7 linked regions of the Kluyveromyces lactis genome follow. The protein of the gene in region 3 interacts with the protein of the main gene of each other region in a pairwise test. Links are inferred from orthologs where the notes say so. Each region holds a gene or a part of one and is shown on either strand. Other genes may lie near its edges. The genes, in order: PEX2, PEX21, PEX13, PEX19, STE20, PEX11 and BNR1.

Region 1 (2,646 bases), on a different chromosome or scaffold from region 3:
TTACTGGGCACATTTGGAGTATTTCTGCAGACAATTAGTCGATAAATACAACAGTGTTCGAATTATGACAGGTCCCTTATACTTGCCGAAGCGAGACCCCAAAGACGGTAAGTTCAAAGTCACATACGAGATGATTGGAAATCCACCTAACATTGCAGTCCCAACGCATTTTTTCAAGTTGGTCGTGGCTGAAAGACCTAAGCAGCTTGGAAATGGTCGTGATGATGAGCTGCACGTTGCCGCATTTGTCTTACCAAATGCTCCTATTTCGAACTCTACAACATTAATAGAGTTTGAAGTACCCGTCAATGCATTAGAAAGGAGTTCCGGCCTGCAGCTGTTGCAGAATGTTCCAAAGGAGAAGAAGAAGGAGTTGTGTAAACAAGTGCGGTGCGAAATAACTGTAAGAGAGTTTAATAATACTGTTTTAGCATTGCCTGGGAAGTAATAACGTATATAGATTTGGCCTAGGTGTGAATATATAGGGTATAATAAACACTTTAGCAAAAGAATTTTGGGTTCTTAGTATTACAAACTAGGCAATGTGACTGTTCCACTTCCAACGCACAAGTGTAGCAATACCTTGTATTGCAGCAAGTGATTGTAAATGCATTTGTAGCGACCTCACCACAAACAGGGCATAAAGTATTCTTTTGCGAAAACTTCTCACCAGGGGCCCCAACTGAAGAACTACCACCGGCAATAGCCTTTGCAGCTGCCACCGCAGCTGCGTTAGTACTTGTCACAGAAACGAATCCGTTTTTAAATAACGATAGACCAGCTATCATCTCAATGGAAGCATTCCAGAGCATCTGAACCTCAGATGCTGATGATCCTGAAGTAGTATCAGAATACGAGAATCCCGGTTGGAACACTGCAGGGACTCGGAACAATCGATGCAAAAGAGAGGGACCACCTGTACCCGACGTTAAAAATTGTAAAAGATGGATCAAATCTAAAAGTTCGTAAACCAAATTGGTCCTTTCAAACCGATGCAACAGATGTCTTAATACCACGGTAACAGCAAATAACCGCCAACGAGAGCATTGATAGCCAACACCAGTGAGAACACTACCATATGTTGCGACACTACCCTGATGCCATCGCCTACTCCCAAGTAAGAATACCAGAATTTCAACAACTATCTGCGGACAAGGAAAACCCAAATCCGATTGAAGTGCCCTGGTGAGCTGCAGATCAAGTGAAACTCCATCTAATTGAGCAACCCTTGACATATTCGGATCGACAGATAACGTATTGCGCTTAAAACACTCACTACCCTTCGTTACTTAGTGTTAGCAATGAAATATTTCACCGGTACAAATTGCAAAATAATAAAGCAGCAGCGTGACTTCCAGATAATAAAACACAGTACCTATCTCTCTTGATATAGATAGATGTCTCACTGTAATACAATCGGACAGTATGGATACCAGGAACTATGAGACCAGGGCTGCGATAACTCCGAAATTATATTCCCCGTTGTTTGGATGGCCTCCAGTTTATCCTTACTTCGAGGGCATTTTTTTTGCTCTTTGTACTCGGTACTTTTATGCCAAAGGCTATTCAGTTATTCGTTTCGTACGTATCTGACTGAGAGCTTCTACCGCGGAGTTAGAGAAAAATCTGCAAGCAAAAAAAGCACAGTCAATCAAACAAGGAGAATGCAGCAGAAAATGCTACAATACTTTTTTGGGCCGTAGGCTTCACGTTTTGATCTATTAAAGTGTGTCTAAACGCCGCAGCGCAGCTTACCTGAGCTTATGTGATATACACCGAATAGTCTACAACATCCGTTTTTGTCAAGTGAGCCTTTTCGGTCAATATTGGGAAGCAGCTTATTATACGGGGATGCTTTTACATACCGCACCGGTAATATACCACAAAAAAATATCGGACACACAGGGTTATGGACTGGTTCCGTCAATCGCAGAAGGGTTCGGTTCAGAGCCTGGTTCTTTGTTTGTTTGTTTTTTTGCCTGCTAGTGTCATCAACGGGGAATTACTGAGAGCCCACCTTAAGGGCCATTAGGACTTTCTGGCAGTTTTTTTAATCTCCTGTTATTTTGAAGTTCGAAACTCCAGAGTTTTTCCTCGGTTAAAGCTAATTCTAGGAGATGAGTTACTTTATAATGCTTTAATTACATTTGCTTTTCGATATCAAGCCATCTATATGTACATAAATATATATATATATATATATATATATGGATGTGAATGTAAGTGTATGTATAGATATACGCGGGCACTTGCCAGTGGTTGTTGGGATAACGCGCAGATTTCATCCCATTAGTTCTCTGAGTGCCGCTGGCAGATACTGGCTACCATCCGTTCGTACCTCTGCGTGCCCCAAATTTTTTTTTCCTAACATTAAAAATGCTCAAACCGTTGCGGTCTTGTACCAGATGCAGAAAGAACAAGGTAAAATGTGATTCTGCAAACACAAGACCCGGTCCTTGCACTGCCTGTTCGAAACGTGGTTTGGTGTGTACGCTGGATTACGTCGTACCACCGCGTCGGTCTGATGAACTTAAAAAGCTTCATCACAGTGTCTCATGTGTCAAGGGAAGTGTCGAACGGTTGTTAAAAAGTTCAGTTGTATCCTCAACGTCCATTGATGATCAAAACGAGGAAAATGCTTATAGA
Region 2 (2,732 bases), about 370 kb from region 3:
AAACTGGACCTGAAATCTGGGTGAAGAAGCAACGACTTAGCCGGAGGAAAAACGGTTCTTGCCTTGCTGAATGATACCGGATAACTATAAACTAATCTGAATATTCAGCTACTGTTATATAATTATCTAAAATTGGATACTGAACCCAGGAAGGGTATCAAGATATATTCTCCGTTTATACATCAATTTTTCATCATTACAATATATTCTCTTTCTCTAATGATGCAACGGAAAATTGACAAATGACCAATAAATGGGCGACTCATCTGGCACCAATCGAAAAGAAATACACGATGACTGACTTAATTAATTTAACCGGTACAGTACCCAGCCATGTGATACCTAAATTTGATGCCTTGGCTCGAATAAAGGAACTTAAGCCATACGAGTGAACAGGGCAGCTTTCGCTGCCCTGTTCACTACTAAATTGCCTGTTCAAATTGGCTTTGCCCTTTGGCAATGACAGATTCTATTTCTTTTTCTTCCTTTAACTACTGGCATATTGAGTTAAGAAACACCTGGGAATGATCTCCGGGTAACGCGGAAAAAAAACCCACCTCTTGCTGCACCCCTTTTTTCATTGTCCACACTGTGCTTTGCCCGATTTTGCGGGTGTCGCACGACGACGGAGTTTATTTCCGCCGTTTCAGGCAAGGGAAGAGCTGAAACGGCTGAGTGACGGGTGGCGGCCGGGTAAGGAAAGAAAATACACTGATTACATAATACCATCCACGTGACGTAGTCACGTGGATGGTATTATGTAATCTCAGAGTTGAATGTCCGAAAGCATTCTTTTTTTTTTTTCTTCCTTCCTTTTCCTTTTCCCCCGGGGTTTAAAAATTCCGTTCCGTCCCGACCGGCATTCATTATGCAACTAATCGTCTTTTAGATTATCAAAATGTCAAATGATTATTCCATTTCGACCGAACTACCGCCTCTCCACTTGCTTACGTACTGTTTTTGGGTTCCCTCATCTAATAGCTTCCTCAATCGGCTAGAAGTGCCAGTACTGGTCTTCAGAAGTCCATAGAAAGCCTCACTGTTACCCGGGGGGTTTGCGCATCTGTCGCTCTTTCACTTTTTTTTTTTTTATTCACTTCCATTCCACATCTTTCAACCGTTAGTGGTCTGAACTTGTTTCATTTCTTTATTCATAATTTCTTTCTTTCGTCCAGGTTCTGCATTTATTATATATATATATATATATGTATATAAATAAAGTTTGTACATTGCTTGTTTCGATGATTTGCGGACTAGTTGTCTTATGTCTGTTGCTCGAGGAGACTACCACCAACCAAGAAATATAATACCATGTCAGTGTGTCAAACGAATCCTTTGAACACTCTTGTTTCGAAGTCTGGTTATAGGTTCGGACAGCCGAATCAGCACCAACAGAGCATCGCACAGCAGCAGAGCAGACCAAGAAATAATGCACTAGACCACCAGTTCTCTCAGTTTACTGGTGCCTCGGGTCCCAGTTTCGCTCATCCACAGCATCAACAGCTGCCTATGGCAGCTGTTGTTGCTAACGCTACTACTGCAGCCAGTACTACTAGTAATACTGCTACAGCCTCTGATCACCATGTTTGGATCGATCAGTTCGCAAACATGCAGGTGCACGACAAGACCGAGTTCCCAACAGATTATAAACAGATGTATTCGCAGTACGAGGCGCGTGGCGCCTCGTACTCCATGGGTGCACCGGTGATGGTGTCCCATTCACAAATGTTCCCGCGTCATCAGCAATCTCTGATGGTGAACCAACTCGAGTCACAAGCGTATGCCAGTAGTAGCGCGAAGCTCGATGAACAATTTGCTGAACTGGAAAGACAAGTGCAAGACGATGAAAAAGAACAGCAACAGGACAAGGATGACGATTTCCATCTCAAAGAAACGTCTCCTCTAGACGAAGATCAACGCCAATTAAAAGAAGCAGCCCAATCCATTTACACAACTCTTTCAGATAAATCATCTACAACTAGTTCGAAATTTTCGAACTCCAAGTTCCTTGGACTCATGAGAAATATCAGCGATGGTGTAATAACTCTGAAAAAGAACCCAGATGAGGATAAATATACGGAATTATATTCTCCTTCTACCGGTGAAACTTTTGGCGAAGAGTATTTCCCAGTGCAGGATAGTGTTTTAGGCGACCCCTTGGACTCCATTGGTGACTTATCTAATATGAGTTCATCGGAAGCCGCTGCAAAAGTGTACCATAACTCCGTTTGAAAAAAAAAAAATAAAATGGTATTACTAAGTATGAGTGGAGGGGTATTTCTCTGTTGTCAGATCTACTGTTATTTTGTCGATACATATTGAGTTAGAGTTACTCTACACTCACGTGGAAAATCACCTGGCAGGATCACCATATTCTACTTACTTCCCAATATTAGATTAACTTAGCTAAAGCTTAGTTCCAAAAATAATCTTATTTAATGACTATAATGATACATTTCAATCTCTTTTGCTTGAGTTGATGATTCTGCCTTTCTTGTGCCGTAATCTTCCATATTGGTAGCAAGACCAGTCGCTATCGTGCCTATAGACCCATCAGCATCTTCTTCCTCTGTTGCTAGTAACCCAAGCCCGTTTTTAAACTCATTTACTAAGGACCAAATCGCACTTCCCGCATTGTCGTCACCTTTTGGCTTGCCCTCTGATTGATTTTCAGTTGCACTGGATCCCGAGTCGCCTAATCCTAACTTCGTTTCAACGGTCCCCTGAATAAT
Region 3 (2,853 bases):
TATGACAGGGCAGGATGCCAAGGAAGCTGCTGACACGGCTTCAAACAAGGCCAGCGATCTTGCAGAGAAAGGTAAGGAACACGCCCAAGCCAAAGGTAGAGAGGCTGCTGCCAAGGGTAAGGAAGCCGCTGCCAAGGGTAAAGAAAAACTGGAAAATGCTGCTGACAAACTAAACGAATAAAAATAAGGAATGAGATGATGATAAAGTCCGGAATGTCGATGTCCTCTTTTCCCAATAAACCAAATTACCTGATCCTTTAAGCAGCAGGGTGACAATAAACGCCCTTGTGCTAATATTCTAGCATTCCAAATGCCGTATCTGGGGTTCGAGCAATGGAATAATAAATGTGTAGTAACCACAAATACATATATAACGTGAAACAAGAGAAAAATACAACGTAATTCTTCTTAATACTTAGTCTGAAACTTTCTGAAGCTATCACATCTTTAACTTAGCATTTGTGACCCGCCATATTCAATTCTTGTCCATCACCATGTAATCACTGTTGATTCTGTAATAGATGGTCTACCGAGGTTGAATCCGCCAGTTCTTCAGAAGTATTCGATTTCTCAGATTCAACAGGTACGCCATTTTTCCTTTTCTTAATCAACTCAAGATAGTTGTATGGAACGTACCCAATATTTCCTTGTTTTGTTCTGACTTTCCACCATTCAGAGTTATTTCCTAGTGGATCTTTCTTGGAAATGATTGCCATTAGATCTCCTTTCTTTAAGTTACATTCAATTCTTGGATTCTCAGGAACGAAATCATAGATCGCTCTTGCAAATTCTAGGTTATTAGGATCTAAGATTTGTTGTGCCATAGCGCCGCCAGCTATTTTGGCTTTTTGGTGCTGTTGTAATTTCTGAATAAATTTGTTCAAAAGGTACGGGAAGCCGAACACAGCTGCTAAAAACACAATCAATGGTTTCCATGAAATTCTTCTACCCTTTTTCTTCGTCAGATCTGAGTCCCTGAATTCTTCGATAAATTGTTTTGAAAGATCTGAGCCCTGGCTCTTTCCGCCCTCTATCCCTAAGCGCTTTTTGGAAGGCGCTACTCCCATCTTACCACCTGTAACTCTGTACAAGATCTTTTTTACGAATTTTATCAAGGCAAATATACCAAAGAATGATCCCAAAAGCTCCTTCATATATTGAAACTGTTCCGCAACGGTTATCATAGTGAAAAAAGAGTTATGGGTAGCCATATATGTAGCTTCTAACATCTGGGCGAAACCAGCAACGGCTCCTATAAGCCCTTCTATTAACTGGAAAGTTGCCTGTGTTGACTCTGCAATCCCCGAGGGTCCTCCATTCATACCGTTCATACCGTTCATCCCATACATTGATCCGAACCCTCCCCCATACATCGACCCTAAACCACCGCCGTACATCGACCCTAAACCACCACCATACATAGAGCCATAACCACCTCCGTACATGGATCCATATCCACCACCCATGGAACCCATTCCATATCCTGTACCTAAACCTCCACCATACGCCGAACCATATCCAGACATACCATTTCGAAGAGGGTTTCCCCCGTTCAAAGAATCCATACCCTCATTTAAACCGTTCGGTTTGGATGGTAAGTCAGGCTGATTACCAGATGGTTGCAACGCACTGCTATTCTCAGTAAAACTGGCATCAGTTCCTAAACTCTCAACTCCATTTTTCTGCTCCCAGGGCTTCGGTCTGGAAACACCTGCCGATTGTGACATGACTACTGATGCTCTAATAAATATGAACTTCGATCACAGCACTTAATAGAAGCCAAAACCGCTACAATCGATGTGTATTCATCACTGTCGTTACCTGTATTTAAGCTCCACGACATGATTCAATGTTACTTTTAGAATCATCGTCAATCTTTGAAATATGCTTTGGCCGGGTAACAAGTTACTATTTCCTGCGTCGTGACTTAAAGACAATAGTAGATATCGTCTTTTCATCAGCAATAGACGATATCTTTTCCACGAAGAACCGTTGGATACTTGAATGAAAATCCTTATTTCCTTCTTTTAAATATTTTGTATTTAAATTGGTTCCGAATGACACGCATATTATGTATATATGTATCCTTGTTATTATTGAAAGAATGTATAAAAGTTCGAAATGAAGCAGCTGCAATGTGAGTTGAATGTATCTACTACAAAGCTTTATCAGCAGCATTGGATAGTTGTAAATATTGAATCGAAAATGTTGTCCGTATTATGCTTGAAAAAAATTTGTAATTATCTTATGAAAAGTCCTTCTTGTGTTTGCTTTCTTCTAAAGAAGTTAATTGTATGCGTAAATTGAAACCATGCTGTAGTCTCGTTGGATTAATACTCCCCGATAATACCTCGCCTTCGTCACAATCTAATGTCGTAGTACTGTTATGAGCGGTAGTGTTGTCGGGATCGCTGATATGTAAACTAGATTCATCTGGCTTACTCTCCGATTTGGATTCAGCCAGCGCGTCGAGTTGTTCAACTGTTAAGTACTTTACCCTGTTTTTCCTTGGGCTCAGTCTGGATTCCAAAGCCTTCTGAATTCTTCTGCATTTAGCTAATTCTTTCTCTAGCTCTTTTATCTTTCCTTCAACAGCGATCTTTACTAGTGCATCTGATTTGAATGGTGGTTTATTCGATATATTCTCCCGTGACCTGTCTGAATTGTGAATTATGAAGTCTGTATTTGATATTCTTGGTAATTGTTGTATATGCTGTAATAACGAGCTGCTTTGGAAGGTCAAGGACTCATTTGCTCTCGTTAAACTATTGTTGATATCTTTTAAATTCTCGTTATCCAAATGCAATTTATCGTTATCCAGTTTCAACTCATCAATCTTCAGTTGAAGTTTCT
Region 4 (2,640 bases), about 1.3 Mb from region 3:
TGAAAGAAAGATGTCAGGATTGCTTTTCTACATTGGATAGTTTTATTGCATACAAACAAAATGAACGTAACAAATAAAACAATAAATATATACAGTCTACACCTGATAATAGTAAAATACAAAATAATTGAATAAATCAAGTATTCATTAGCATTATTCTTGATATTAATTTTAAATTTTACACGAGAACTATACACCTACTGGATCGTTCCATCCTATGATATATCTCTATACAGCCATATAACAATGGTCAACACCGTAGAATAAATCGAGCCATAGAATACAGCAAATTTATTTGATTTGCGCTTTACGCTGGGGAAGGCCCAGGGTTTCCCGCAAGTTGATATCTGCCGTCATCTGCGTATTTGCATTTTCTCTGTCAGTAAATGGTTTACTTCCGAAGTTGTATTATGGAGGTATCACTTGGTATACCTAAGAGCTTGTTCTGAGACTTTCCTCTCATATTCCTTAATGTTTTTCGAGAAAGCTCTCCAAGCTGGCTCTTGCGCAGGTGAGTTAGGGTTCGGAGAATCCAAAAGATCCTGTACACCAAGTAAGAGTTGTTTCAAGGTGATAGCAGGTCTCCAGTCCTGATCTTCGTTCAAGATTGATAAGCAAATGGTTCCACTGGGATAAACATTAGGGTGATAAAATCCTGCTGGAAATTTCACTTTAGGAGGTTTTGACGGATAGTCATCAGGATATTCAATGGTCAAAGGATAAAGACCATTTTTCCAGAGAGTGCCGTCTCTTCCAGGGATACCAGCCTCCCATTTCTGCAAGTTCATAGATCCATCTGTCTTTTTAGTTGGTTTGGCAAAGAACCCATAAGGATGATCTTTTCTCCACTTCTTTCTCTCCTCTTGTAACCTCTGTAGACAAAGACTACTCATGACTGTTTATATTATTCGGCCGTTCTGATCGTCGAGTCGCTTTAATATACAGATACCGTAAATATATTAAGGTACGTTGCGCCCTGTTGTAAATAGAGCCTTAACTCAGATTTACCGTTGTTGAATAATTGGAGGATATGATATTCCGTGCGATACGTCTTTTTGTTTGTGATTTTGAAGATGATTTTGATATTGTAGAAAAAGCATCAATAGTGTTTTGAAGAAAAAGTGATATTTTTCAGAATTGACAGTGACTAAAGAAACCTTAACTGAGGTATAATTAATAGTAAGGGCTACGCACCACCAAAATTTCAACGGATAGTAATCAGATACTTCGACAAACGATGTCAGACAACAAAGTTGACGAATTTGATGATTTGGATGACTATTTAGAGGATCCACGCAAACTGGATGAACAGGAAAAACAAGAAACTGTTCCAAATGAGGCAGTTACTAAGGGTGAGCCTGCTACGCAGAGCGATGATCCAGAAGTAGTCGAGATGATGGAAGATTTGCAGAAACAGTTCCAACAATTGATGCAGCAGGAAGGCGGTGATACTGACCAAGAAATGGTTCAGAATTTCGAGACATTGCTAACTGTACTTGGAGATGCATCGAAGGAGAAAGACCATAACAGTGTAAAACACGTTCAGGAGCAATTGAAGAGCGGTACTGGTTTCAAGAATATCATTTCCAACACCCTAGATAGATTGAAAGAAAATTCTACGAAAGTGGATGAAAGTTTGGAGGAAGAGAAGAAAAATCAGAACTCAGACGATATTCTTTCCCAATTGCTAGATCAACTAGTGGAAAACGGCGATGGCAACGGTACGGACGGAGAAGGAATGGACAATGCCATTTTGAAAATGCTTTCACAAATGTCTTCTAAAGAAGTGCTATATCAGCCGATGAAACAAATGCAGGGAGAATTCACCGAGTGGATGGGATTACACGAAGAAGACCCCGAACACAGCGACAAGATTGATAACTACAAGAAACAGTATGCACTTGTGAATCAGATCATCGGTGTATTCGAAAGCGATGATTATACGAATGAAAAGTACCATGCTGAGATCGCAGATCTATTGGATGAACTAGAGCAACTCGGTGACTCACCGGTTGCAAAGGGAACTAGTAACGATCCTGGAAACGATATGTCAGAATTAGCCAAGATGCTGGAAATACAAGGAGATGAAAATCTAGGTAACATCGACAAAGACCTTGAAGATACCTGCAAACAGCAATAAAATGTGTATATGAGCTCATAATATAATATTTAATCATAATAAACTATTATTCTATTTCTTTCACTCTTTGCCTATTAGTATGATATTCGAATAATATGGCTATTTTTCTCTTTTCGACTTTGAAATTCATATTGAGGACTGAAATCACGAGACTAGCTCTAAACCAATAATAACCAATATACTATGCAAGATTGAATATATGTGACAACTTTTTGCCATAAGGTATACGGGACAGTGCACTCTTCTGAGTATCTCCCATTAGACACTTCCCTCTCAAAGAGCACCCTTTCTTTTAGCCATTCTTTAACACAGCATGTTTGTTCTTACATGCATATGTTCGCATATTTACAAAATAAATTGAGGAATGTTCGTATTCTATTTTTGTCACAGTCCTATGTTCGAGCATGGAAAAACCAAAATAAAAGAAAATTGAATATGAAAGAGTTGATCTACCTTCTTAAACCATGTTAAAATTTTGGACGAAGTTTGTTTCATAGTGA
Region 5 (4,136 bases), on a different chromosome or scaffold from region 3:
ATATAGAATTGTTGGAAGGTGGTTCGAAAATCTTAGTTGAATCTTTCAACGTGGAAGAGTACTTGATTCGTGTCTTTGACCAATTTTTGGGCAAAGGCGTAGATATGCAGCTCGCTGCCTTCAGGAACGGATTTTCGAAATCATTCCCTTATTCATCATTGCTAATCTTAACTCCGACAGAACTATCCGATTTGTTTGGTGCAGTTGCTGAAGATTGGTCTGTGCAAACGCTATACTCATCCATTCATGCAGACCATGGCTACTCGATGGATTCTCCAATCATAACAGACCTCATAGATATTTTGTCGAATTTTTCGACACAACAGAAACGTTTGTTCTTACAATTCATCACTGGCTCTCCGAAACTACCTCTTGGCGGTTTCAAAAACTTAAAACCCAAATTCACAGTAGTCCTGAAGCACCCAGATGGGAACATCTCGGCAGACCATTGCCTACCTAGCGTTATGACATGCGCCAATTACTTGAAACTACCAAAATACTCTGATAAACTGGTACTCAAAGATCGTATTGCACAAGCAATGACTGAAGGTTCCGGAGCCTTCCTATTGTCATAGAATATGTATATAACTACATAGAGATGTCTGTAGATCTAACCATACTCCACCCTAACTAAAGATTTCAATACCACATACTTTCGTGACATGTGACAGGATTTACTCTTTGGGATTGGCGAAAATGTTGAAACTGAAATTTAAAGCTTAAGAGTTTAAACAAACGGAATGTAAAGATCAGATGGTATGCATGTTTATAAGCAGATTAGAGAAACGAGCAAGCTCAATTGTTGCTTTAACTGTGGCTTGTGTTAGAACTAGGTTTTAAATTTTATTAATCAGGCTATCTCTGCCGATTTGACAAGTATTTCAGAGAGTAATACCAGGTAATACCATCTTCTTTTGGATCTTTTTAATAACAAGCACACATTATTTGTTTGTTTTGGCGAGAGTGTGATTTTAGCAATCAAAAGACGTTCGTTACACTGAATTACACAACAGGCTCTCGTTTTTAAGTTAGAAGGAGGTGAAGGTAGAAAGAATTTTACAGAGCACGTTTTGTCATTTCTTTCATTGTTTATCTGACTTGATCTTCTATTCTTTGAACAAAGTAATCTAGCTTTTTTTCTGACAGAAATTAACACGGCCACAGCAGGCTTTGTTACTGACGGTTGTATGCTCTAGAAATCATTACAGACCTGTTTGTGTTTTTCGGAATACCTTTCCTTTTTGTTCGGTCGATAGAATTAACCACAAGACATCTTTTGACACAGGCCTTTTTTTTTTGATAGAAGCTACTACACTCACTACTTTGTCTCCATATAATGACGGATACTGGATATACTGAAGAATTGTTACCAGGCACATTTGATGCGCTTTCCGTGAGAGAAAATGGTGGCAATACAGAAAGTGACACCAGTAGCATACGCAAAAGTCAAAATCAAGATTCAAAACAAGAGGATGTACATCGTGAAAATCTTTCAGTACAAACTCTAGAGGATCATACAGAAGTAACGGAGACTAGGGAACAATCTGTCTCAAAAGATCTCTTTGATTTACCTCGTGCACCAGCGAGTTTGGATGTGAAAGGATTACAAGAATCAGACGAAGATCATTACGTCAAAGACCTTTCAGATTATAAATCTATGGATCCAGGGAAACCGGGCACCGTACCAACAAATGTTTCGGAAATTTTTAATAGTAACCAGCCAACTTTGGATGAACCGATACAATTTACAAGAGTCTCTTCCAGTTCTGTGTTAAGTGAAAGTATATCGGAAGGTGATGCAGATTTAATATCGCATCTAGAAGGAAAAGTGGAAGAAGGAAATAATTTGACTTCGAAGGAGACGCCAGGGACAATTGAATCTATTGTTGGAGATAAGACGATGTCAACTATAGAAGGTTCCTCCCAAAATATAGGTAGAATATCTACTGGCGGGAGGATGACACCTGATCTCTCTCTTATGGGCGGGGCCCTGGAAACTTCTTCTGACTTCCTAAATTCCACACAAACCTCAAATTCTCCAAAGATTACAACACCTATAACTGAAGTTGATGCCAATGATGTATATGAGTCCCCGCTAAATGAGATATTATCATCTACAGATAGTTTCAACAAGGCATCGACAGCGTCTGCAGATCATTCGAAACACGTAAGTGTGCATGAAGTAATACCTGAAGAAGAACCACATCCAGAAACAACAAATGAGGATCCTCCAATTAAAACTCCCGTAATGGTGAATAACTTTTTCGAAAATCAAACACCAGTATCAGAATCAAGATCCCCCTTCAGAACCATTTCTTCTCCGTTTTCTTCTCTGAGGAAAAACGTTAAGAGTCAGCATGGGACGCCTGACCACTCCCAGAGGAATTCTAATTCCTCCACCTCCTCTAATGATGTTAAGAGGAAGACCGGTACTAAGAAGAAAGGTGTTTTCTCAACATTCGTTCAAAACATCAAGAGGAACTCACACTCAGAGAAAAGAATTTCTAGCGGAAGCGGTAATGGAAGTGGAAATAATGCATTTAAGATCTCTACTCCTTATAATGCTAAGCATGTTTATCATGTAGGTGTTGACTCCAAAACAGGGGAATATACAGGGTTACCAAATGAATGGGAGAAACTTTTAACTTCCAGTGGCATTAGTATGAAAGAACAACAGCAACATCCCCAGGCTGTGATGGATATTGTAAAATTCTACCAAGATGTTACTGAAAACTCTGGAGAAGAGAAAGTCTTCAAGACTTTCAAAGTAGGAGGTGGCTCTGGTGCAAACATTGCATCTACACCTTCTTTCAGAACCCCATCAACTGCATCAGTACAGAAGTTCGAAACTCCGCAAATGCAAACAGATGCAACTTTTCCGAATGAAAACAATGATACCCCATACTCTAGTAACTTACAGGGTCCGCTGCTCACTAACGATTTCAGTGAAACTGTGAACAACGAAAAGTTCATACCGACTCGGCCTGCTCCAAAACCTCAAGGTTCCTCCACAGTTAGCCGTAGGGTCGAAATCCCTTCACCAATCAATTCGCTTGGCCATGGAACACCAAAAGTGCAAAGAAGTGATACTCAGTCATCAAGCATTTTCTCATTCAAGAAGATGCCAACATTGAAAAGTGAGCAACCATTACCTCCTATTCCAAAGGCTGCAGAAAAACCAGCAAATTTATTGCCTGCAAGAGCGGCTCCTACTCCACCAAAACCTGCAATTCCTACAACACCGGAACAATCCTCAATACCTGCAATTCCTTCCGGGCTTGCTGTGGAAGTGAAAGAGGAATCGAATACTTCTAATGTCCAGACAAGAAAGGCCCAGGAAAAAAAGAGGGAAGAGAGGAAAAGAAAGAATCAACAAATTCAATCAAAATTAACCGAGATTTGCACAACAGGAGACCCAAGCAAACTGTACAAGAATCTGATCAAAATCGGACAAGGTGCATCAGGAGGAGTTTACACAGCGTATGAATTGGGCACAAATGCTTCAGTAGCAATAAAACAGATGAATTTGGAGAAACAACCCAAGAAAGAGTTAATTGTGAATGAAATTCTGGTCATGAAAGGAAGCAAACACAACAACATTGTTAATTTCATTGATTCATACCTATTTAGAGGTGATTTATGGGTTGTCATGGAATACATGGAAGGTGGTTCGTTGACTGATGTCGTTACGCACTGTATATTGACTGAAGGGCAAATCGGTGCCGTCTCTAGAGAAACACTCAAGGGTTTACAGTTTTTGCATTCAAAGGGAGTCATTCATAGAGATATTAAATCAGACAATATTTTGCTATCCATGAACGGAGACATCAAACTAACAGATTTCGGTTTTTGTGCTCAGATTAACGAGGTAAATTTGAAGAGAACGACGATGGTTGGTACTCCGTACTGGATGGCCCCAGAAGTCGTATCAAGAAAAGAATATGGACCAAAGGTTGATATTTGGTCTCTTGGTATTATGATCATTGAAATGATAGAAGGTGAACCACCATATCTGAATGAGACACCACTAAGAGCTCTATATTTGATCGCTACCAATGGTACGCCAAAGCTAAAGGATCCTGGAAATTTAAGTCATAAAATGGCTATGTTCTTAAATTGGTGTTTAATGGTTGATC
Region 6 (2,473 bases), about 1.6 Mb from region 3:
CTCTTGGAGCGAATAAATCAGGCGGGAGCAATTCGACAAAAGGAAGAGGTTCTTCAACTCTAGAATCTTCATTAGATTGCGCACCCACTACAGCAAGAAGATGGACCATCCAAAGTGGTAACTCTAGTTTTGCATTTTTCGATATTGGTCTGCCTGGGTTTCCCTCCAGATAACCCAACCCAGGAACGTCATAGTTGAATCTACAGGGAAATCTAGTACCATCAGCCAGTATATCATCTATATCATAGTATCCCATCTCGGCATAAATCTAAGGCGATTCTCAGGAAGCTGAACCGGCAAAATATAGGCTGGTATTTGGAATTGTAATCTTACTTTTGGCGTTTCTTCAATATGAGATATACAAATGCTTTAAATGATTTTAGGTTTGGGCTTGATGGCTCTAAATGTAAACAATAGAAAAGAACGCAGTATTATAAAGCAGAAGACATCGCTCGCTAGTTAACGATTCTTTTTTACGTGTTTCGCGATGTTGAGAGGAAATGCATCTCGATGATATAAATCACGTGATTGATGCTTGCACACTACAAAATCGTCATTATATCACTGTACACGATTCGCATACATGGCTTTCTCGTTGTCCCTTTTTTTTTTCTCGAGTTTCGGAACAAATCGGGCCATCCTTTTCAAGCTGTTAGCGGAAGGACATTTGGTCCGAAATACACGTAAAAATGTGCGCCTACATACTAAATATTATGTCGCCCTTTTTCCCGGGATCCCAGTCTTCACCTAGTAAGATTGCTATTGTTGCATGTCTTCCCCCGGTACAAATGTCCTTAATACAGCAGGATCTTCCGTGCTAGTAACTTCGCAGCTCTGACTTGTCCCTCCCATTTTTTGTGGGGGACCCGAAAGAAGTTGATAATAAAGTACGTTTCGCTGCTAAGTGGAAATCCTCTCCTTTTACCGTAGAGCCTGACTATTTTCTGTTGACCCTGCTTTGATCTATGCCCATTGACATATGAAGTATAACATCACACTTTATATATATATATATATATTTATATATAAAGTAGAAAATGACTGCTGAAAATAAAGACAAGCAGTTTTAAGCATTTTCACTACTCCTTGTATTCCTATCTCATCAGACTCTGTTGAAATACGTTGCACCTGCGATACAATCTCTCTCTAGTGCTTTGTTTGAATATACTGTTTCCAATATTCTACCTCCTTCAGAAATCAATTGAAATACTGAGCCAGTTATCCTGAGTCATCTTCCACATCTAAACTTATAAGTTTTACAAACAAAAATGGTTTTAGACACAGTTATTTATCATCCTACGTTGACCAAATTCATTTCTTTGTTGAATAAAACAGCCGGCAGAGAAAAGATCTTGAGATTGCTACAGTACTTGGTTAGATTCCTTGCCGTTCAATACAGATCTGGTTTGAATAGACAGTTACAATCTGAATTCACGTCTGTCAGAAAGATTTTGAGATTCTTCAAGCCATTGAATCATATCCAGGACGCAGCCAAATTATACGATAACAAGATTGCTCCAGATCAATGGGTTAGATGGTTGTCCATAATCAAAAATGTGGGTTATGTTGGGTATTTAACTTTGGATCAAATTAACTTGTTGCGCATCCTAAAGTTAATCCCAGCTACTCCTATTACTGCCAAGAAAGTTCCTCGTTACACAAACTGGTTTTGGTTCGTTGCGTTGATCGCTGGTTTGATCACCGATGTCCGTAAGTTGTACACTTCTCAAAGAAAGATCGAAGCCTCTTTGAGTTCTAAGGGCAATGCACCAACCGAAAAGGCTAGTTCTGAAAAGTTGACCGCTTACTACAATGAGAGATTCGCCGCATTCAGAAGACTAATCTGGGATTCTATCGATACTTTCATTGTCTTAAATAACTTGCAATTCTTGCGTAATGACGAATCAAGTGTCGCCCTGGCTGGTGTCGCTACATCCGTCTTTGGTCTACAAGATGTCTGGAAGACTGCTTAAAGGACTTCTCCTTCCCTTTAATTTAGTTTATATATATATATATATTTATATGTATCTTCTTTCAACTTAACATATTACTCGATATGTTGATAATTGTAATTTCAGCTGGTACCGGGATAATTTCTGATGATGCCTCCGTATTAACTAGATGTCTGTGCAGCTATTAGGATATACTATCACCATTGTTTCATCATTTTAATACCAATGTTACCCGCACTTGTTGATGTTTACACTTTTCGACAGGCTTCAAAGTTGAAATTGTTGAAAACTACTTGAAATTCCATTTCATCGAGGACATTAAGCGAGCACCATATTCGCGGCTACTCTTGCACTTCTATTCGTAATTCATTGCTTCTGCGGGATAACATCACCACTATTTTTATAGGTGGATATTCCTCAATTTAGACTAATCGCTTTGGGATTATTTCATTCTGTTCTTTTCATTGAAAAGCCGGTTGTTAATCTGATCTGGTATTCGAAATACAGCAGATTGTTAAAAA
Region 7 (4,114 bases), on a different chromosome or scaffold from region 3:
TAGCCACTAACGGAGTTTGATATGGCAAACCAGCAGCTAACATCGCAGCTCTATGTTCTGTCGCACCTGCACCGGGATTCAACACATTACCACACGCAATTTCTTCAATGACACTCTTATCAATGTCAACTTTCTCAAAAAATTCCTTCAGAAACTGTGTAAGTAAATAATCCGTGTTAACATCTTTGAATCCTCCTTTGAACCCTTTACCAATAGCTGAACGATACGCAGCTACAACAACCACATCGTCCGGATTCTTACTCTTTATATCCTTTTCAGAACTGCGTCCTGTCAAATGTTTCTCTAATTGTTGAAGTCTGCTAGCCATATTATATTTCTGATTGACTGTACTCGCCTGTAGTATACTTATATCTTGCCCTATGATGTTCACTTGTCAATCAATTCATCTGATAAAAGTCAGTGATAAAGGAATAATGTCAGCATGACACATTTATGTACGTAATTTATACAAAAAATTATTTGTCAAAGGGATCACTCGCTAAAATAAATATGGGGAATAACGAACAATGAGCAGAACCAACCAGCCGTCGTTTTGGAGTATGTTAAAGAGGATTTAATGATCGCATACATCCCTTCTTCACGGCCATTAAGCTCGCAGTTAATCATCAACACTGAAAAGCAGAAACTTTACGGAGCTCCACGATGTCATTAACAATGATCCTGACTTAATCTAACTACAGTCTCAAATTTGCCTTTGCTCAAGGCTATGTCGTAGAATTGGAGATCGGCATTGTCACACTAATTCCGGTTTTCGTTATGAAATACCCTAAAAATGAAAGACCAACGTCGCATGCGGGGTAACCCCCAAGTTGAAAAAACTTACCCCGGGTAGCAAAGAAGATCCAACTCACGTGACTAGTATCTATAGATTGTTTCACGTGTCGCGTACTGTTTCCTTCTGGTCTCTTCTTCCTTTCCAAAGTGCGTTTCTGAGCTTTTGATCCTGTTTTTGTTTACGTTTTTTAATTTTTGATCCATCTATTAAGGAACGTAACAAAATGAAGCACTAAAAGCGTATGAAATTTAGTACACATGTTTTGTAACACAAAGGAAATCCATAAATACGTACACTTGAAGAGAGTCTAAAACTGTTCTACAATCAGCTTTGCTAATCATTAGAATTAATCGTTTTCTTTGACAAATTGTTTTTTGTACAAGCGTTTATCTAGTGAAATTATTTCGCTATCTCCCAGATCATTATTGAATGATCGCGTTTTCCTTGTATTGATGAGTATCAAATCACTTTTCTGGCTATAATTCTGCAACTGAAAATCAACAAACTTTGACCGACCAATGACTGTTGATAAGAATGAAAAATCCATTAGTATTTTGTTTCCGCTTCGATCTGGATCCATTAATGCTCCGACTGCAAATGCCAAGACCAGGTTTTCTAGCAATGATTCCAACGATGATCTGGTAATACAAGGGCTGAATCTAGTAGGAACAGGGCTCAAACCTCGCTCCCAGACCCTGCGATACATGAAATCACACAACTTTTCAACTCCGAACGTTGATTCTACGCGACATGTTTCTAAAACGGATAAAATGTGTTTAGCAGACACTCAGCTACCGTCAGAACAAGAAATTGATGCCAAGTTTGAAGAGTTATTGAATGGACATGCGTTTCTAGGTACTGCTAAGCAAAATTTGAAAAGCTTGTCGTATACCCGTAAATGGGAATTGATTCAGAAGGAAAAGAAACTACATGGTGATATAACGATGCAAGACGATTCAAAATTGAATACTTTACATATGATTTTGAGCAATTTGAATAAGAGATTCTCGGTTACTCAAACACTTTATCAATTGGAACGTTTACTTCGACATGCTGATTTTATTTCGCTGTTTGTGAATGCAAACGGAGTTTCGATTTTGAATGGGTTCATTGATTTATTGGATAAAAAATCCCAGTACGTGTACTTATGCTGTTATAAAGCATTGCTTAACGATACTTCAGCAAGATCTGTGATATTCCAGAATAATGATTGGATAACTTACGTCTTCTGCCTTTTAGGAACGCTCACAACTGACCTTAGAGTTCGTCTTTTATCTACCCAAATTGTGATCCTTCTGACATATTCCACTGAATGGTCAGATTCTTTGTTGGAATCGTTAGATTTGTGCTACGAAAGTTGGATCCAGGCAGTAGAAATGACTCTTCGAAACCCGGAGGATTATGCGTTTAACAACTCTTTAATTCTTCCAAAACCAAAAGAATTGCTCGTAGATTACTCTATATCTACATTGTTACTGGTTCAATCCATTCAACAACTTCTGCCTTCCAATGATCTAAAACTGGCGTGTTTCAAAAGATGGAAGAGAGCTGGAATACACCGGGTTTTCCGGCTAATGAAGGATTTAGACTCATCAGCTTTGAATCAGGACATAGACCTGTATATCGAACTTGAATTGAAGGTGCAAGACAAACAGTTCAAAAATGAGTTTCTGAGTGAAATATCTTATGGTCCTCAAATCAAGAGTTTAATCGAATATACTAAAGATACGCCGTTAGAAACGCCTATTTGCAATATTATAGAAACGATCTTGGAGCTAGTAAATGAAAGAACAACGGAAGGTTCAATAAAACTGTTCTATGTTTTCAATTCTATTCTAACCTATCTATGCGAACATACCTTGGATGGTAGCTTTGATGAAACCAACACGGAACAAGTTTTCATGACCTCACTAGATCATATAATGGATAACTTACAATCCCATCAAATTGCCAAAAGAGCAATGATGGAACTGGATGAAAAGAAGAAAGAATTTGATGGAATACAACTTCAATTGGATACATTGCTACAAGACAAACAGGTTTCCAAAGGGGATCTACTGCAGAAATTAGAAAATAAAGAAGAACTTTTGAAATCAAGGGAAATAAGAATAGAAGAATTGCAAGACAGATTGGAAGTTGTAGAAAATCAGCTAAAGAAAGAAAAGAAACAGTTGGATCTCACTATCGCCCATAGAGATGTAGCAGAATATACACCAAAACGTTCTGTGTCACTGTTTGAGACTTTAAAAGAACATAAACCGCTTATTGGTACTCAACGATCAACTTCCTTATCAAAAAGTAAACGTATAGCATCGCTATCCACTGTTGCAAATGAAAAACCTCAGTCAAAATATCCGCACTCTACCCCTTATAACATCTTGAATAACAATTCTGACGATGACCTTCCAGTGACTCCGATATATCCACGCAAGAACGACATATTCCATCAGGTATCAGCACTCCCAAAACTATCTTCCAGTAATGATGTAGTATCAGCAACGACCACAGAAGTTCCATCAGCCCAAACAGCATTTGTGATTCCTGCTTCTATTGCAGCACCAGCGGCTCCGCCGCCTCCACCACCACCTTTACCGCCTCAACTGAAAAGTATAGAAGCCTTCACCTCACCAATGACCAATGGACCGGCCCTAGTAACTAGTTCTGCTTCCTGTGCTTCGTCAAATGTCGCGCCTCCACCTCCGCCTCCACCTCCGCCTCCACCATTACCATCAACTCTGTCATCCCTGAACAAGGAATCCACAGTAGAAGATACATCTTTATCAGTTGCATTCCCAAACGAAACCCTCCCAGGAAAACCAACAGACGGCATTCCTCCTCCTCCACCGCCTCCTCCTCCTCCTCCACCATTACCTCTAGCTAACAATGTGACATTCGTGTCTAAGCCTAAACCAGAGGTAAAACCGTTGAAGCAGATTCATTGGGACAAGATAGAGGATATTAGTGACACACTTTGGAATGAACCAACAACTAGGAGTGACTTAAAGGAGGACTTAAATGAAAAGGGTGTCTTTAATGAGATTGTGAACTTGTTTGAACAGAAGGCAGTTCGAATGAAGAAGAAATCCAACGTTACAGCTAGTAAGAAGAACGAAAAAGTTTCTCTTTTGTCAAGGGATCTGGCTCAACAATTTGGAATCAACCTACATATGTTTTCTTCATATTCTGTTGAAGACCTTTTGATAAAAGTACTAAGGTGTGACGATGATATAATCAAGAATCATAGCGTTCTTGAGTTCTTTAACAAGGATGACTTCGAAACTATCCCCCAAAGTATAATTAGATCTTTCGAACCCTATG

The links.
Region 1: the proteins of PEX13 (region 3) and PEX2 interact in binary tests that used the Saccharomyces cerevisiae proteins (3 or more experiments, as listed by UniProt). The link is inferred for Kluyveromyces lactis from reciprocal best matches to the Saccharomyces cerevisiae genes PEX13 and PEX2.
Region 2: the proteins of PEX13 (region 3) and PEX21 interact in a two-hybrid assay, tested with the Saccharomyces cerevisiae proteins (2 studies listed by BioGRID). The link is inferred for Kluyveromyces lactis from reciprocal best matches to the Saccharomyces cerevisiae genes PEX13 and PEX21.
Region 4: the proteins of PEX13 (region 3) and PEX19 interact in a two-hybrid assay, tested with the Saccharomyces cerevisiae proteins (4 studies listed by BioGRID, with this or other methods). The link is inferred for Kluyveromyces lactis from reciprocal best matches to the Saccharomyces cerevisiae genes PEX13 and PEX19.
Region 5: the proteins of PEX13 (region 3) and STE20 interact in binary tests that used the Saccharomyces cerevisiae proteins (3 or more experiments, as listed by UniProt). The link is inferred for Kluyveromyces lactis from reciprocal best matches to the Saccharomyces cerevisiae genes PEX13 and STE20.
Region 6: the proteins of PEX13 (region 3) and PEX11 interact in a protein complementation assay, tested with the Saccharomyces cerevisiae proteins (2 studies listed by BioGRID). The link is inferred for Kluyveromyces lactis from reciprocal best matches to the Saccharomyces cerevisiae genes PEX13 and PEX11.
Region 7: the proteins of PEX13 (region 3) and BNR1 interact in a two-hybrid assay, tested with the Saccharomyces cerevisiae proteins (2 studies listed by BioGRID). The link is inferred for Kluyveromyces lactis from reciprocal best matches to the Saccharomyces cerevisiae genes PEX13 and BNR1.

Annotation. Positions count from the first base shown.
Region 1 is NC_006040.1:37,093-39,738, reverse strand, and holds PEX2 (ubiquitin-protein ligase peroxin 2), read right to left. Parts: upstream 1,236-2,646; coding exon 501-1,235; downstream 1-500. Other genes in the region: NUC1 (ribonuclease), read left to right, coding at 1-448; KLLA0_D00396g (Zn(II)2Cys6 transcription factor domain-containing protein), read left to right, coding at 2,377-2,646. UniProt on the Saccharomyces cerevisiae protein: E3 ubiquitin-protein ligase component of a retrotranslocation channel required for peroxisome organization by mediating export of the PEX5 receptor from peroxisomes to the cytosol, thereby promoting PEX5 recycling.
Region 2 is NC_006041.1:1,384,491-1,387,222, forward strand, and holds PEX21 (Pex21p), read left to right. Parts: upstream 1-1,311; coding exon 1,312-2,232; downstream 2,233-2,732. Other genes in the region: TDA11 (Tda11p), read right to left, coding at 2,436-2,732. UniProt on the Saccharomyces cerevisiae protein: Receptor that mediates peroxisomal import of proteins containing a C-terminal PTS2-type peroxisomal targeting signal via its interaction with PEX7.
Region 3 is NC_006041.1:1,756,182-1,759,034, forward strand, and holds PEX13 (peroxin PEX13), read right to left. Parts: upstream 1,728-2,853; coding exon 501-1,727; downstream 1-500. Other genes in the region: KLLA0_E19713g (uncharacterized protein), read left to right, coding at 1-181; MMR1 (Mmr1p), read right to left, coding at 2,246-2,853. UniProt on the Saccharomyces cerevisiae protein: Component of the PEX13-PEX14 docking complex, a translocon channel that specifically mediates the import of peroxisomal cargo proteins bound to PEX5 or PEX21 receptors.
Region 4 is NC_006041.1:441,699-444,338, reverse strand, and holds PEX19 (Pex19p), read left to right. Parts: upstream 1-1,237; coding exon 1,238-2,140; downstream 2,141-2,640. Other genes in the region: SYO1 (Syo1p), read left to right, coding at 1-77; E2 SUMO-conjugating protein UBC9, read right to left, coding at 420-893. UniProt on the Saccharomyces cerevisiae protein: Required for proper post-translational import and stabilization of peroxisomal membrane proteins (PMPs).
Region 5 is NC_006038.1:1,190,256-1,194,391, forward strand, and holds the start of STE20 (mitogen-activated protein kinase kinase kinase kinase STE20), read left to right. Parts: upstream 1-1,336; coding exon 1,337-4,136. Other genes in the region: putative ubiquitin-protein ligase UFD4, read left to right, coding at 1-575. UniProt on the Saccharomyces cerevisiae protein: MAP4K component of the MAPK pathway required for the mating pheromone response, haploid invasive growth and diploid pseudohyphal development. Links the pheromone response G-protein beta gamma subunits to downstream signaling components.
Region 6 is NC_006041.1:177,014-179,486, reverse strand, and holds PEX11 (Pex11p), read left to right. Parts: upstream 1-1,268; coding exon 1,269-1,973; downstream 1,974-2,473. Other genes in the region: DNA replication protein PSF3, read right to left, coding at 1-256. UniProt on the Saccharomyces cerevisiae protein: Involved in peroxisomal proliferation. Promotes peroxisome division and biogenesis.
Region 7 is NC_006042.1:1,002,513-1,006,626, forward strand, and holds the start of BNR1 (formin BNR1), read left to right. Parts: upstream 1-1,314; coding exon 1,315-4,114. Other genes in the region: POT1 (acetyl-CoA C-acyltransferase), read right to left, coding at 1-328. UniProt on the Saccharomyces cerevisiae protein: May organize microtubules by mediating spindle positioning and movement in the budding process. Potential target of the RHO family members.